Linked DNA regions of Saccharomyces cerevisiae S288C. Changing the gene in region 1 together with any one later gene gives a genetic interaction. Each region holds a gene or a part of one and is shown on either strand. Other genes may lie near its edges.

What was found.
Region 2: mutations in RPL22A (region 1) and SPS22 together harm fitness more than expected from each alone (negative genetic interaction), as found in Saccharomyces cerevisiae (2 studies listed by BioGRID).
Region 3: mutations in RPL22A (region 1) and TIM11 together harm fitness more than expected from each alone (negative genetic interaction), as found in Saccharomyces cerevisiae (2 studies listed by BioGRID).

Annotation. Positions count from the first base shown.
Region 1 is NC_001144.5:259,639-267,013, forward strand, and holds RPL22A (60S ribosomal protein eL22 RPL22A), read left to right. Parts: upstream 1-3,555; coding exon 3,556-3,567; intron 3,568-3,956; coding exon 3,957-4,310; downstream 4,311-7,375. Other genes in the region: REX2 (Rex2p), read right to left, coding at 100-909; FRS1 (phenylalanine--tRNA ligase subunit beta), read left to right, coding at 1,341-3,128; BMT6 (25S rRNA (uracil2843-N3)-methyltransferase), read left to right, coding at 4,519-5,616; PER33 (Per33p), read left to right, coding at 5,818-6,639; SND2 (Snd2p), read right to left, coding at 6,735-7,280.
Region 2 is NC_001135.5:39,668-44,056, forward strand, and holds SPS22 (Sps22p), read left to right. Parts: upstream 1-2,497; coding exon 2,498-3,889; downstream 3,890-4,389. Other genes in the region: YCL049C (uncharacterized protein), read right to left, coding at 119-1,057; YCL048W-A (uncharacterized protein), read left to right, coding at 1,821-2,060; POF1 (nicotinamide-nucleotide adenylyltransferase), read right to left, coding at 3,994-4,389. UniProt on the Saccharomyces cerevisiae protein: Redundant with SPS2 for the organization of the beta-glucan layer of the spore wall.
Region 3 is NC_001136.10:1,111,503-1,114,949, reverse strand, and holds TIM11 (F1F0 ATP synthase subunit e), read left to right. Parts: upstream 1-2,656; coding exon 2,657-2,947; downstream 2,948-3,447. Other genes in the region: small subunit rRNA maturation protein UTP4, read left to right, coding at 1-517; PEP7 (phosphatidylinositol-3-phosphate binding protein), read left to right, coding at 923-2,470; mitochondrial 54S ribosomal protein mL38 MRPL35, read right to left, coding at 3,258-3,447. UniProt on the Saccharomyces cerevisiae protein: Mitochondrial membrane ATP synthase (F(1)F(0) ATP synthase or Complex V) produces ATP from ADP in the presence of a proton gradient across the membrane which is generated by electron transport complexes of the respiratory chain.

The DNA.
Region 1 (7,375 bases):
GTCAAAGCAACCTGAAAGGGTCATTTCTCACCAGGAGTCATGTTTCGTGTGTGAAATATTTGAAAAATTTCACTTCTTTTTTCTTTTTTTTTTTCTACATTAAAAATCGGTGCGTTGTCTTTTCAAAGATGAGGTAGATGAAGATGGTGACTCCGGCTGTTCAGATCCGATTGACTCGACCGACTCTGTTTCCTGTGGTGGCTTCAAGTAGTTGTCCATGTACCATTGCAATTGAGCTATGCTCTCTTTGATATCACTATAAGCAGTGTGGGCAGCTTCTTTTTTTGGATTACGTGCTTGTAAAGCGGGATTGTGTCTGCGGGCAACTTCCATGATGCTACTGACGTCAACTATTCTGTAAAAGAGATGATCAATGACCTTGGGAAACTCGCGGACCATGAACAAGCGGTCCATATGTACACTATTGCCTGCCAAGACGCCAACGTTCTTGTCTGGGATGTAGCGCTGGATGTACTCGAGCAGCTCATCTTCTACCTGGGCCAAAGTCTTCTCACTTGCCAAAACTTTGGCGGTGAGACCGCTATTACCGTGGTGCTCAATACACCACTCGTTCATTTTGTTCATCACCTCGGGACCATAATGGATGACGCTCTCATAATGCGAGTCTCCTTGGCCATCGGCCGCTTTGACGGGTGCCAGGTGTCCATCGGTGATGATGCAGCAAATCTCGATAATTCTGTCATTCACGTGGTCTAAACCGGTCATCTCGCAGTCGATCCAGACCAAGGGTTTGAACAGCTTGGTTTTAAGTTCGGGTGTTTGCGCCATTGATTGCAGGTTTTGGATGGTTCGAGGACGTAAGTACTGTGAAACGGATCTTCTGTACAGCGAGAAGAGGTTTGGGCGAGTGCGAGCTACGATTCTTGCCGGAAACAACAACCACTTCATCTTGATCTCTTCTGTTTATTTGTGAAAGCTCCTTTTCTTTTTTTTCATTTTCTTTGCAAATCGAAAAGTTCACACTGATTTTTTATTAGTTCTTTTAAGTGCCCAACTTGACAGGAAAAAGAAACACCCCAAAGGGAATACCAGTGTATGTAAGGCTTGAATTATACGTATGAGCATGCGTTTGATGGTTGTCGTCAGAGCCAGTGCTCTGAGAGTGTCCCAGATGACTACAACCCTTGTATAAAAGTACATCTTCTTGATTATTTATCACGACACACGAGGTGACCGATTATTCAGAATCGGTACCAAAAAAGAAAGAAAATTGAAGGAAATGAAAAATTTTCAATGTATTTCTCGAAAGCCTGGAGTTGATCAAATGTTCAAAAAATAGGGCAGAATAGCATAACACACATCAATAACACCGAGCCAGCATGCCTACCGTCTCCGTGAACAAGCAGCAATTATTTGATCTTCTAGGCAAAAACTACACTTCCCAAGAGTTCGATGAATTATGTTTTGAATTCGGTATGGAAATGGACGAAGACACCACAGAGGAGGCCTTGAAAACCGGGGAGGAGCCGGAATTGAAGCTTGATATCAGTGCCAATCGTTACGATTTGCTTTGTATCGAAGGTATTTCACAGTCGCTGAACGAATACTTGGAACGTAAAGAAAGACCTGACTATAAATTAAGCAAGCCAACCACTAAGTTGATCATCGACAAATCAACGGAGCAAATTAGACCTTTTGCTACCGCTGCTGTATTGAGAAATATCAAGCTTAACGAAAAATCTTACGCTTCTTTTATTGCCTTGCAAGATAAATTACATGCCAATCTATGTAGAAACAGAAGCTTGGTTGCCATGGGTACTCACGATTTAGATTCAATTGAAGGTCCATTCCATTACAGAGCTCTACCACCAAAGGACATCAAGTTCGTACCATTGAATCAAACCCAAGAGTTTACTGGTGACAAATTGATCGAGTTTTATAAATCTCCAGAACAGAAAAACAACATAGGGAGATACGTTCACATTATTGAGGATTCTCCAGTCTTCCCAGTTATTATGGACAGCAAAGATCGTGTTTGCTCCCTGCCACCATTAATCAATAGTGAACATTCGAAGATCTCTGTGAACACCCGTAACATTTTGATTGATATAACCGCCACCGATAAGACCAAAGCCGAGATCGTTTTGAACATATTAACTACAATGTTCTCACGTTATTGTGACGAACCATTCACGGTTGAGCCTGTAGAAATTGTCTCTGAACACAATGGCCAATCCCGTTTGGCGCCAAACTTCAACGATAGAATTATGGATGTCTCCATTAAGTACATCAACTCCTGTCTTGGCCTAGATCAATCCGCTGATGAAATTGCTCATTGTCTAAAGAAGATGTCGTTGCATGCCGTTCAATCAAAGGAAGACAAGGACATCTTGCACGTTGACATTCCGGTAACTAGACCTGATATTTTGCACGCTTGTGATATAATGGAAGATGCCGCTGTCGGTTATGGTTTCAATAATTTGCCAAAGGGTGAGAAATTATCCAATGCCAACTTCATTGCCAAACCATTACCAATCAACAAGGTTTCTGATATTTTCAGAGTTGCATCCTCTCAAGCCACGTGGGTTGAGGTTTTACCATTGACCTTATGTTCGCACGATGAAAACTTTAAATTTCTAAGACAATCCGACAATGGTGATTTAGCTGTCAAATTGGCCAACCCAAAGACTTTGGAATACCAAGTTGTTAGAACCACTTTATTGCCTGGTATCTTAAAGACAGTCAAGGAAAACAGAAAACATTCCTTGCCAATCAAAGTCTTTGAAACCGGTGACGTTGTATTTAAAGACGACAAACTAGAAAGGAAGGCGTACAATGAACGTCACTGGGCTGCCATCTACGTGGGTAAGAATTCTGGGTTTGAAATCATTCAAGGGTTATTGGGTAAAATCATGCAAACTTTTAGAACAGAGTGGATTGCAGACTACGGTGCTGCTGCTTCTGGCAGAGGTTACTGGATTGAAGAAGACGATTCTGTGAAAACCTACTTCCCAGGTAGAGGTGCCAAGGTCATGTTCAGATCCAAAGAAGGCGCTGAGCCAAAGCAAATCGGCCACTTGGGTGTCTTGCATCCTGAAGTCATGATGAATTTCGACGTTCCATTCGCTGCATCCTTTGTAGAGGTTAATGCCGAAGTCTTCCTATAATGTAATGTTCTAACAAAAATTTTTACTGATTTATAAAACTTATATAGATAGATAGACACATATATATATCTATATATAGAAACACAACTAAAGTTTACCATGTTTTATATAATATTACTACCGCTACTGAGTAAATGTTTAGCTTGTACTTAACTTTCAAAGACAGTTTTTTTGATAAACATCAGTACATTTAATAATACATCCATACATTTATGTTAATTTGTTTTTCCTTTCCACCTCAGTGCGCTTCTCTTTTGAAAAAATCCTCAACAGGCCACGCGAACAAATCTTACCGAGAATTTCCTAAAATGTTTCAAACTATCATTTAGCTGCATACAATATGTACATTATTAATTGAGATTAACAACTTTACCTGTACTTTACCGTTATCAAATTATAAACCACCAAAACAACAGATTAAGAAACAATGGCCCCAAACGTATGATACTTTAAAAGGAATCCACGCCCGATTACGAAGTCTATGTTTTACTGTTATTGTAATGATTGATTGTACGCGAATAACAAGGAAGATAGTAAAACCAAAAAAAAAAAAATAAAAATGTACGAAACGAAGAAGCGTCTATGTGTTTAGTTGCTTTTCTGTATTTTAAAAATTCACTACTTGAACATTGAACTCTATATCGACTCCCTTCTTTTTATCCGTTTCTGAATGTTTTTTTGTTTGAGATTGTCATATGTGATTGTTAATAGCAGTAGGCAACTTTGTGGTTTCGGGATTGAAAGAAAATCGTGAAATATTCGTTTTTTACTAACATTACTGTTCTGAAAATTTTTACTAATTTTCAATCTTTAATTTTTTTGATATAGACTTCCAGAAAGCAAAAGATTGCCAAGACCTTTACCGTCGATGTCTCTTCTCCAACTGAAAACGGTGTCTTCGACCCAGCTTCCTACGCTAAGTACTTGATCGACCACATCAAGGTCGAAGGTGCTGTCGGTAACTTGGGTAACGCTGTCACTGTCACTGAAGATGGTACCGTTGTTACTGTTGTTTCCACTGCCAAGTTCTCTGGTAAGTACTTGAAGTACTTGACAAAGAAGTACTTGAAGAAGAACCAATTGAGAGACTGGATCAGATTTGTCTCTACCAAGACCAACGAATACAGATTGGCCTTCTACCAAGTCACTCCAGAAGAAGACGAAGAAGAAGACGAAGAATAAATTCATTAATATTATTTTAAATAGAGCATAAGTTTTGTATAATTAAAATCTTCTAAACCTAATAAATATGTTTAATGAATGATTCAATATCAAAAAAAGAAATCCATTGGGCCCTTAGTGCATTTTTATTTTTTTTTTTTTTTTTTTTTTTTTTCTCTTTCTGAATTAGAGTACATCTCATCGCAGGGTCTCTTTTTGCACGTTTTTGATGTTGCTTATGAGACGCTTTGCCTTTTTAACTTCTTCAGTATATTTTAAATATATACCAATTTATTCACAATATCATTACTCTTCTCAGTTTCCAATTAACATGAATCCTAAAAAAGTGGCCCAATTGCCCGTTCACAATAAATCAACGCTTCCACCACAGGAAATAATCGATCTTTTTAAAATAACATTCTTAGAAGAGCTATATCCAAAAGATCAAGACAATGAAAAGTCACCGTTAACTGAACAAATACAGGCGGTAAAATCTGACCTTTATAACAGAGATTACAATGCTGCTTTCAATAACGACTCGAAAAGAATAGCATATTGTTGTCGTTGGTCACCGTCCAGAGCAACAAGTTACGCATCAGTATTTGCACATTTCCCTGAGCTTCTAAAGATTATCAGATGCGAAATTGATGACAAGGACTCAAATGTGCTCTGCATAGGTGGCGGCGCTGGTGGTGAGCTGGTTGCATTAGCGAGCATATTCACTTTATCGAGAGATTTTTCGTCTAAATTTGCCTCTGCTTTGAAAATAGACAACGAAGTAAACAAAAAGCCTAGAAATTTAAACATACAACTAGTAGATATCGCCGACTGGTCCACAGTTGTTGAAAAGCTAACAGCTACAATAAAGTCGAAATGGCTATATGGTGATTCAGAAGCAGAGTCATTTAACGTCAACTTTACCCACAAGGACTGCCTACAAATGACAGAGCCACAAGATATCAAGATATATCAAGGCCTCGACCTAATAACTCTACTTTTTACTACAAATGAACTATTTACACAGAAAAAAGTGGAGAGTATAAAATTTCTGCAACGGTTAAACGAGAACTGTGCCCCAGGCTGCCATCTTCTCATACTAGAGAGTGCAGGAAGCTATTCTCACATTACCATCAACAACAAGAAGTTCCCAATCCAATTTCTTATCGATACTATCTTAGTAGGCAATAGAAAGGACAAGGGAACGACAGGTCCATGGTCACTAGTATCCGAGAACGACAGTATTTGGTATAGAATGGACCCAAAACTCGACTACTCGATTCCATTGGAAAACATGCGATTCTTTTACCGTCTTTATGTCAAGAACTAACAGGCTTTATGACGTTTTACTGTTCTCTTTTCATTGTTCTTTTCTCGAAGAGTTTAGAAAAATTTTTTTTCTTCTCATCCACACCGAAAAAATATTAATAAGAGAGTTGAAAATTCGATTTGGAATCAGAAATAAAGAAGGGGCCACGATCAAACAAGACTCATTTCGAATAATTGTAAAAAAAAATTAGCACAAAACAATATGACCGTTCCCAGGAATCGTCCCATGGCACCATTTGGCACCATTATCAAATCAAGAATAAAACAACCCCAGTTTTATTGGTTTATAGGCCATTTTTTAACCATCTTTAACTTTATACAATTTCATCTTTCAATCACGTCCAAACAAAACCAATTGTCATGCTATAGAAGATCATTATTTTACATATCCGTTACATATGCCATCGTTCTTTACCAGTTTTTCAAAAGTGACCAGTTAAAGTTCAATTTTACGCTTTTGCGCCAAGAGATGAAGAAATTGGATAATTTGCAGTATTTTGCCATGCTATTCATACTTTTTCTCTTATCACAGTTTAACATCATAATCAGCGGCTCGTTATACAGTCCCGTTATCTTTTCAATCTTTCACTTCCTGAACTATTTTAAGGAAAACCTTTTGCCATTTTTGCCTTTGATACCACTTAATTTGAAAAATTTGTTGAACTCCAAAATAACGGTATTCATCCAAAACTACAATGGATTTTTCTTACAGATGGCGCAAGTATTTGAGATTATCTGCGGCCTACGTGTGGGCCTCTTCTTAGTGCCCTTCAATTTTTTCTTGTTGTTGGTAAGAAGAGCAAACGTGTCGTTTGAGGTAGTGGGTACAATGTTGGCAGGACTAACCTATGTATGGTTTTTCAAATTAAGGTACCTACAAAGTGAATCTATGAGGCAGATATTTAAACAATATGTCCTTAGGTTGGATGCATATGTCAGCCGTACTTTGCCCCCATATTGTTCCCGTTTATGGAACGGCTATAAGAATTTCGTTATGACAGTGTTTTGGAAGATACCTGTGTAGCATGCTCATTTTAAGTATATCTAAATATTATTTTGTATATACTCACACTCCTCTATAGAAAGCAAAAAATTTCAAAAACGTTTGAAAAGCTTTGTTTAACGATACTTGTACTTAATTTTAGAGTCAGTTTCACCCCTCCTCTCCCTTTTCATCTGCCTTTTGGATTTGGATTGTCCCTCATTAGCATTTTTTGAGCGATTATCTGCCTGAGTTTGTTGAGCGCCAGGCATGAACATGTTTTTGAGGCCATATAACTTGTAACCAGCATAGATGGGGCACAATAGTAGACACCACCAAAATTTGAATGTCCTGAAAGCTATAATACCAATGTTACCAAAAAGTGATAGATATATCAAATCAAAAAAATATGATATCAAATTTGTATTGTCGTTCAAGTCTATACCTTGTTTTACTACGCGATTGCCATCATATTTGGGCTTACCGGATAGCACAATGATATACAGAGCAACGAACATAGGAACGTTCAAAGCCACCAGCTTAATCCATTGGCCAATTGTAACCTTACGTGAAATGAATAGACGTACGATAGCCATTCCTAAAAACAAAGAGACTTGCTTGTATAAGCCCTGAATTATTTTTGCATTTGAACTAGCCTGTTTCCTCCCTGCTTTGCCAGCCATTCTACCAACACAAACTTAGACCACTGCCTTTGGTGTCTTCTTGAAGCCACACGTGAATACTACCTTTTTTTCATCTATTATCTTTTTTTAATTAC
Region 2 (4,389 bases), on another chromosome or scaffold:
ATTCACAAGATAAAAATCATATGTATGTTTCTGATATATCGATATACAATCAAACACTTTCAAGAATTTGTTTGTAGACTTTTTGCTAGAGACCTCATCAAAGTGCTACCAACTAAGATCAACTTATACTTCTTTTAGAGAAAATTTTTTTCAATGTACTCCAAAGAGATTTAGATCCTGTCTCTTCCTCTTCCTCTTCCTCGAAAGTCAAAGAAAAATCAGAGTCTCCCTGCTTATTCAGGCGGAGAGGCTCTAGGGTAGTTGCGTTTCTCTCATTGGGACACTGAACCTCATTTTCCAACATTTTGGTCATGTAAGAGGCGACAGGCTCATCGCAGGTGGGTGCATCAACATGGTAGTACCTGGACCAAGCGCTACATTGAGTCCCTCCTGGATAAACACCGCTACAATATTGTCTTTGGACGTTTGCCCAAACCATATCTTTTGAATACCAAAGCTGGACCACATTGTATGGCCTAATCATTGGTGCTACCATAATACTGGATTGGGAAACAGTCTGGTTAATTTTTTTCAACCAATTTTTCTTATCTAGCAATGATTTAATAAACCTGAAATCTAAATTGTCTTCGTTAGCGTCTGTGTCATAATCTACAATTGAGTACTGTGACGTCCAATTATATGGCACCGAGATGGGGAATCTGTCCGGTGTTTCGTCGCTGTTATCCTTCTCCTCCCTCCAAATGCAGTCAGAGGCAGGTGCCCATTCGGTTCGCCAGTCTCCGTTATTTACTACTTGGTACTGTTCCCAATCGTAATACGTTTCCTCTGGGTTGAAGATACTTGCTCTGCTCTTGACATTGCCCATAGCCACACCACGAGAAACATCGTGGAAGATTACGGAGCTGTTTACGATAGCAGGAGCAATGGATTTGACGAATGACACTTGATAAAAGTCTTTGGTCGAAAATACAGTATCAACGCCGTCGTGGGACTCGACCCCTGGTAGAAGAAGCAGAGCATCTAGATCAACGGTAGATGCTGCAGAGGTCAAAGCCACAAAGAGGGAAGATGCAGTTACGAGGTATTTACTAAACATTGGTTCGAAGTGATTACAGATTTTTCTCTCTTGAACCCTGGAATTGCAATAGCTTGGTTCCTATTGGGACCGGACCCTCTTGCGTAAAGTATATATTTAGAAGCAGCTATTTAAATCTGAATGCAAGACGAAAAAAAGCTCGTTTATAGGAGAAAAATACCAAAAAAAGGAAAACCATACACATTCGGGTATCCCAGCTTTGCTTGCAAAATCAATCGATGAGCAAGACAAACAGGGCCAGCTGATGCATATGTTTTGTGTTGCTTTCCTACGATCAGCTAATGCGAGTGTTATAAATATTCCCCTAGTTTTCTTCTCCTCCTTTATGTAACAATAACTTGTGGACTTCCCCAACATAAGACTAAAAGCAAAGGGATAACAAGGGATTTATCTTATTCCATCCCTTTGCCTAGCGCACTGTTACGCAGCTGATCTTATCAACAAGTGTGGTTCTTGCCTCTAAGATTTACATTGCCTTTTCCCAAAGGGAAGGTGGGACAAAACTCATTTTCCCTAAGGGGAAACGTAAGATACCCTTTAGGGAAGATAAGGGAAGTTAGTAGATTGACGACGTAAATCTGTGATGAGATGAAAAAAAAAGATTAGCATCTATATAAGAAAGTACATAACCTCCATTTAAGTTGAAAAAAATTTGTATGTAATGTCTTTTCTTCCTCTTTTCTTTATTTCATTCTCACCGCTAAATCGATAACGGCTAAAACAATTAAAGCTCCCTTTTCAAACCTTATACTTCCGTTAAATAATGCAAATCAAAAACATTGTCGCTGTTCTAGCTACAGTCACTGCTATCAACGCCCAAGTTGGCATTGAACCTAACGCCACTACTCCAAATGCTACGCAGCCAAATGCTACGCAGCCAAATACTACTCTTCCTACCGCTTCGGTGACTACGACAGTTTCGATTGGCGAAGCCGTAGTTAATACCATGGCGGCGGGTGCCTTTGGAGCAGCAATCGCTGCCGGTGTTGCCTTCTTATTCTAGGAACATTTTTATTTCCTTTATTTTTTTCTTTCTTTCTAATTCCATAACCGTTGTTCAAAATTGGGGAGCTTTTTAACTTTCGTTCCATTAAGCTTTTTCTTTGTTCTTTACGTTTGATTCTATTTCAACCATAATTTATTTTTTCGTTATTTAATAATTACTAATATTTAATACTAGATGTATATACGTTGTGTGTATGCGCTACTATAGTATAGCTTAACTGTTTTATTATACCCTTTTTTTCTCTCTTTACTGTACAGAAGATGCGTCACTAATTCAAAAAAAAAAAAAAAAAAAAAAATATAAAAAAGAAAGATTTTGGAGAAGCTATATCCTTTTGTGACATACAATAGAGAAACTTGTTCTGTTGGTAAGATATCTCATCTGAAATACAACAAGGAAAACCAAAAGCCATTTTTTCATTACTTGATCGACTTATGAACCGTATTACTAGGAAAAGTTGTTTATTCGCGATTATATTTGCATCATTATTTGTGACACATGCATTGGGTGCCGCTATTGATCCGCCAAGGCGACCACATAATGTGAAGCCTTTTCATAACGGTAATCTCGAACTTCAAAGAAGAGCAAATGAACCGTTTTTTGAAATAGATGTCAAGAGTCTGAACACAAACTCACCGATATCAGAGTTGTGTAAAAAAGATTTGCACGTCATTGAATCGTCTCATGATCTTTTTCATTTACAAAACCAATGTGAATTCATCTTGGGGTCATTAAAAGTCACAAACTATGATTCTAACATTTTGGATTTGAACAGCTTGAGGGCCATTGGTGGTGACCTGATTATTCAGGATTCACCTGAACTGATCAGAATCCAAGCCGGGAACTTGAATAAAATCGAAGGGCTCTTCCAATTACAGGGACTAACCTCTTTGGTTTCTGTTGAAATTCCAACTTTGAAATTTTGTCAGTCACTGGAGTGGAAAGTTGTTCCCATCTTGAACTACGTCTCCATGGATTCTCAGAATATTGAGATTATAAAGGATATTGTCATATCGGATACTTCATTAGCAAACATCGAGAATTTCAACAAGGTTCAGGAAATTGATACTTTCAATATCAATAATAACAGATTTTTAGAAACTATTCATTCGAACGTTAAAACCATTAGGGGACAATTCAGTGTACATGCGAACGCTAAGGAGCTAGAACTTGAAATGCCACACTTGAGAGAAGTGGAAAACATAACGATTAGGGACACATCATTGGTCTACCTTCCACAATTAACAAAAGTGAAAAGCTCTTTAGAGTTCATCGAAAATTACTTTTACGAATTGAACCTGAACAATTTGCAGAAGATTGGTGGAACATTAGGAATTATCAACAATGTAAATTTAATAAAAGTTAATTTGGAGAACTTAACAGACATTCAAGGTGGCTTGATGATCGCCGATAACGAATCCCTCGAGGATATTACTTTCCTGCCAAACTTGAAGCAGATTGGAGGTGCTATTTTCTTTGAAGGTTCGTTCAAAGATATCATGTTCGATAGCTTGAAACTGGTGAAAGGTAGCGCTTTTATTAAGAGTTCATCAAACGTGTTGGATTGCAATAAATGGACAAACCCATCAAATGGAAGATCAATCATCAGGGGTGGGAAATTCACTTGTATTTCTGGTAAGAAGGAAAATACGCTGAATGTTAAACAGGATGGTACAATCATAGAAAAAGGGTACAAAGATTTAACGCAAGAAGGTGAAGACTCCAAGAAAAGAGTGATTTCAAAATACGCGAACTCAGCAAATCCAAGCATGCAATTGGACCCCCTTCTTTTTGGTACATGCCTTGTTGCTATGTTATTGTTTTAAGATTACTAGTCTAGTATAACAGAAAGTTTTTTTTGTTCCTAATATTATCTTTATCTATATACATATATCTCCATGAAAGGCATTTGAATTTCTATCTTTCTCTTTCAATCAAATATTGTCTTATTATTGATCAAATAATCGTATATGCACAATGGCAACTCGTCTTTCAAACTCTCCACTTGCCCATTCTTCAGTTTGTTCCTAATCTCGGATGATGAAACATTTCTTAATGCTGGATAATCATTTTGCATAACATGAATCCTAGCGCCCCATTCTCTTGGTATTACCGGTTCGAATTTTCCCTCAAGGATGTCACTGGCGTATCTTAGTTGCGATTCAGCACTGAGATGGCAATCGCCTCTCGCCAAGCAATATAATTGAGATCCCGACATGAAGCTCTCCATTACATCACTGATTTTTAAAGGATGATAATATTTTTCATCAAAGATCCTAGCAATTGTATCAAAACCAACTAAGTAGCCTATATCTGCACTGCATCC
Region 3 (3,447 bases), on another chromosome or scaffold:
AGATAGCGAAAGCGTATTAACTCAATGGTCAAAAAACAATACGGATAACTTACCAAAAGAATGGAAGACATTAAAAGAGAACTGTGTAGGGATATTTTCAGACATAGAAAATAGTAGCAGATTATGGTTTTGGGGGGCTACTTGGATATCAAGAATAGACTTTGATGTTGACTTCCCTATAAATAAGAGAAGAAAACAGAAAAAACGTACACACGAAGGGCTAACTATCACAGATGAAAGTAATTTCATGAACGACGAGGAAGATGACGAAGATGACGATATTGATATGGAAATCAGCGAAAACTTGAATGTATTATTAAACCAAGGAAACAAAATAAAGTCCACAGATGTACAAAGAAACGAAGAAAGCTCCGGTCACTTCTTCTTTACTGATAAATATAAACCTTTACTGTTTGTTGACTTAATTTCTAGTAATGAATTGGCAATAATTGAAAGAAATCCATTAACTTTTCACTCCAAACAAAAGGCGTTTATTCAACCAAAGTTAGTGTTTTGATTAATTTAAGTCAACATACCGAAGAATAGAGAGATGCTATTAAAAGGCTATCATACTCTAAGGGCATTTTTCAGTTACAAAAAACTCTAATGGCGTTAGTACTTTATAGAAACTCGCTAATGTAAAATAGCCAAGCACATACGCAGACATATATATGTAGTAATCACGTATGCAGACATTAAATGTGAGCCATTTATTGGTATAAATGTATTCCTGAATTACAAAAGTACTGGCGATGGAATCACTCTGGCTATCACTGTTATTTCCAGGCAGGGTAATACTTTGGGAAAACAATAGAATAATGAAAACATATGATCAGTAGCTAAATTGACCGACCTAAAGAGCAAAGCCGGATCTCATGGTTTTTAAAGGGATATCACCGAATTTCCTGGCGACTTATCTATTATGGATCTTGAAAATGTTTCATGTCCCATTTGTCTAAGGAAGTTTGATAACTTACAAGCACTAAATGCACATTTAGATGTTGAGCATGGGTTTAACGATAATGAAGATTCACTCGGTTCCAATGACAGTCGTTTAGTCAATGGTAAACAAAAAAAGGCCAGATCTGTTGATAGCAGTGCGCAAAAGTTGAAAAGAAGCCATTGGGAAAAATTCAAAAAAGGGAAGAGCTGCTGTCACACATGTGGAAGGACTTTGAATAACAATATTGGCGCCATTAATTGTAGGAAATGTGGTAAACTGTATTGCAGAAGGCATCTTCCTAATATGATTAAACTTAATCTTTCCGCACAGTATGACCCCAGAAACGGGAAATGGTACAATTGCTGCCATGATTGTTTCGTCACAAAACCTGGCTATAACGATTATGGCGAAGTAATAGATTTAACACCAGAATTCTTTAAGGTACGAAATATAAAAAGAGAGGACAAAAACTTAAGGCTATTACAATTAGAAAATCGGTTTGTCCGTCTAGTTGATGGTCTGATTACACTCTATAACACATATTCTAGATCCATTATTCATAATTTGAAGATGAATAGTGAAATGTCCAAGTTAGAACGTACAGTTACTCCATGGAGAGATGATAGAAGTGTACTCTTTTGTAACATATGTTCCGAACCATTTGGGCTATTACTAAGGAAGCATCACTGCAGATTATGTGGTATGGTTGTTTGTGATGATGCAAACAGGAACTGCTCAAACGAAATAAGCATAGGTTATTTAATGTCTGCAGCGTCAGATCTGCCATTCGAATACAATATACAGAAGGATGATTTACTTCATATTCCTATATCCATAAGATTGTGCTCGCACTGTATCGATATGCTATTTATTGGCAGGAAATTTAACAAGGACGTTAGAATGCCGCTAAGTGGAATATTTGCTAAATATGATAGCATGCAAAATATATCCAAAGTAATTGATAGTCTCCTGCCCATTTTTGAAGACTCATTGAATAGCCTGAAGGTGGAGACTGCCAAGGATTCTGAAAATACACTTGATCCAAAGAATCTGAATGATCTCGCTCGATTAAGACATAAATTACTCAATTCTTTTAACTTGTATAATACACTAACAAGACAGCTCTTAAGTGTAGAACCTCAAAGTCATCTAGAGAGACAACTTCAAAATTCGATCAAGATAGCTTCCGCTGCATACATAAACGAAAAAATCCTACCGTTGAAGTCGCTTCCGGCAATTTTGAACCCAGAGGGCCATAAAACGAATGAAGATGGGCAAAAAGCTGAACCAGAGGTAAAGAAATTATCGCAACTAATGATCGAAAACTTGACCATAAAAGAAGTGAAAGAGCTGAGAGAAGAATTGATGGTCCTAAAGGAACAAAGCTACCTTATTGAGTCCACAATTCAGGACTATAAGAAGCAGCGTAGATTGGAGGAGATCGTCACACTTAATAAGAACTTAGAAGAATTGCACTCAAGAATACATACCGTTCAATCGAAGCTGGGTGACCATGGGTTTAATTAAGACATATCTTTATTATTCGATCATTCGCGGAATCTCCACGCTAATTGGTCCGCGGAGCCAATCAGATCTATTTAAGGGTATAAATTTTTCTTTAGTTTTTTTGACTTTTCACACAGAAATTTTAGATAAAAGGAAGTATTATATCGGAACATAACGTATATAGGAACTAGCTGAGTGAGTTAAAGGATGTCGACAGTTAATGTTTTGAGATACTCTGCGTTGGGTTTGGGGCTATTTTTTGGTTTTAGAAATGATATGATTTTGAAGTGTAATGCTAAGAAGAAAGAGGAGCAGGCACAGTACGAGGAGAAATTGAAGCTGGTAGAGGAGGCAAAGAAGGAATACGCCAAGCTACACCCTGTAGTAACTCCTAAAGATGTGCCTGCGAACGCCTCATTTAATTTGGAAGATCCTAATATAGATTTTGAAAGAGTTATTCTTAACGCCGTTGAATCCCTGAAGGAAGCTTCAACATAAATAGAAGCTTCAACATAAATAGGATACTAAAAATGCACATTAGCTCGCACTGAATGACGAAGTTATGATGGATTCTCGTTCGCTAGATGTTCCATATTTTTTTCTTCATTCGTTAGTGCACAAACAATAAGGAAAAAAATGAAATGTATATATTCTAGAACATACTAATATCATACGTATCGTATTGTAAACAAAATTCACATTCCAAAAATTTTTCAGATTCTTACTTTATATTATTTGCATCAAGCTTTATTAACAATGACACGTTATTTTATATGTACAGGATACTATAATGTCATACTATTTAGGATCACCTTCTAACTCTGCTAAAAACCCTTCCAGGTGGTAGGCCATATTTTTCTCTGACGGCGGCGACTTTGGCATCCCATTCGCTTCTCCAGATATGTGCCCCAATAGCGGTTAGATTGTATTTCTTCGTAAATTGCCTGATATCAAAATCATCTCTACTTAGTTCCTTTCGGTCAATCTCTAACATGTTA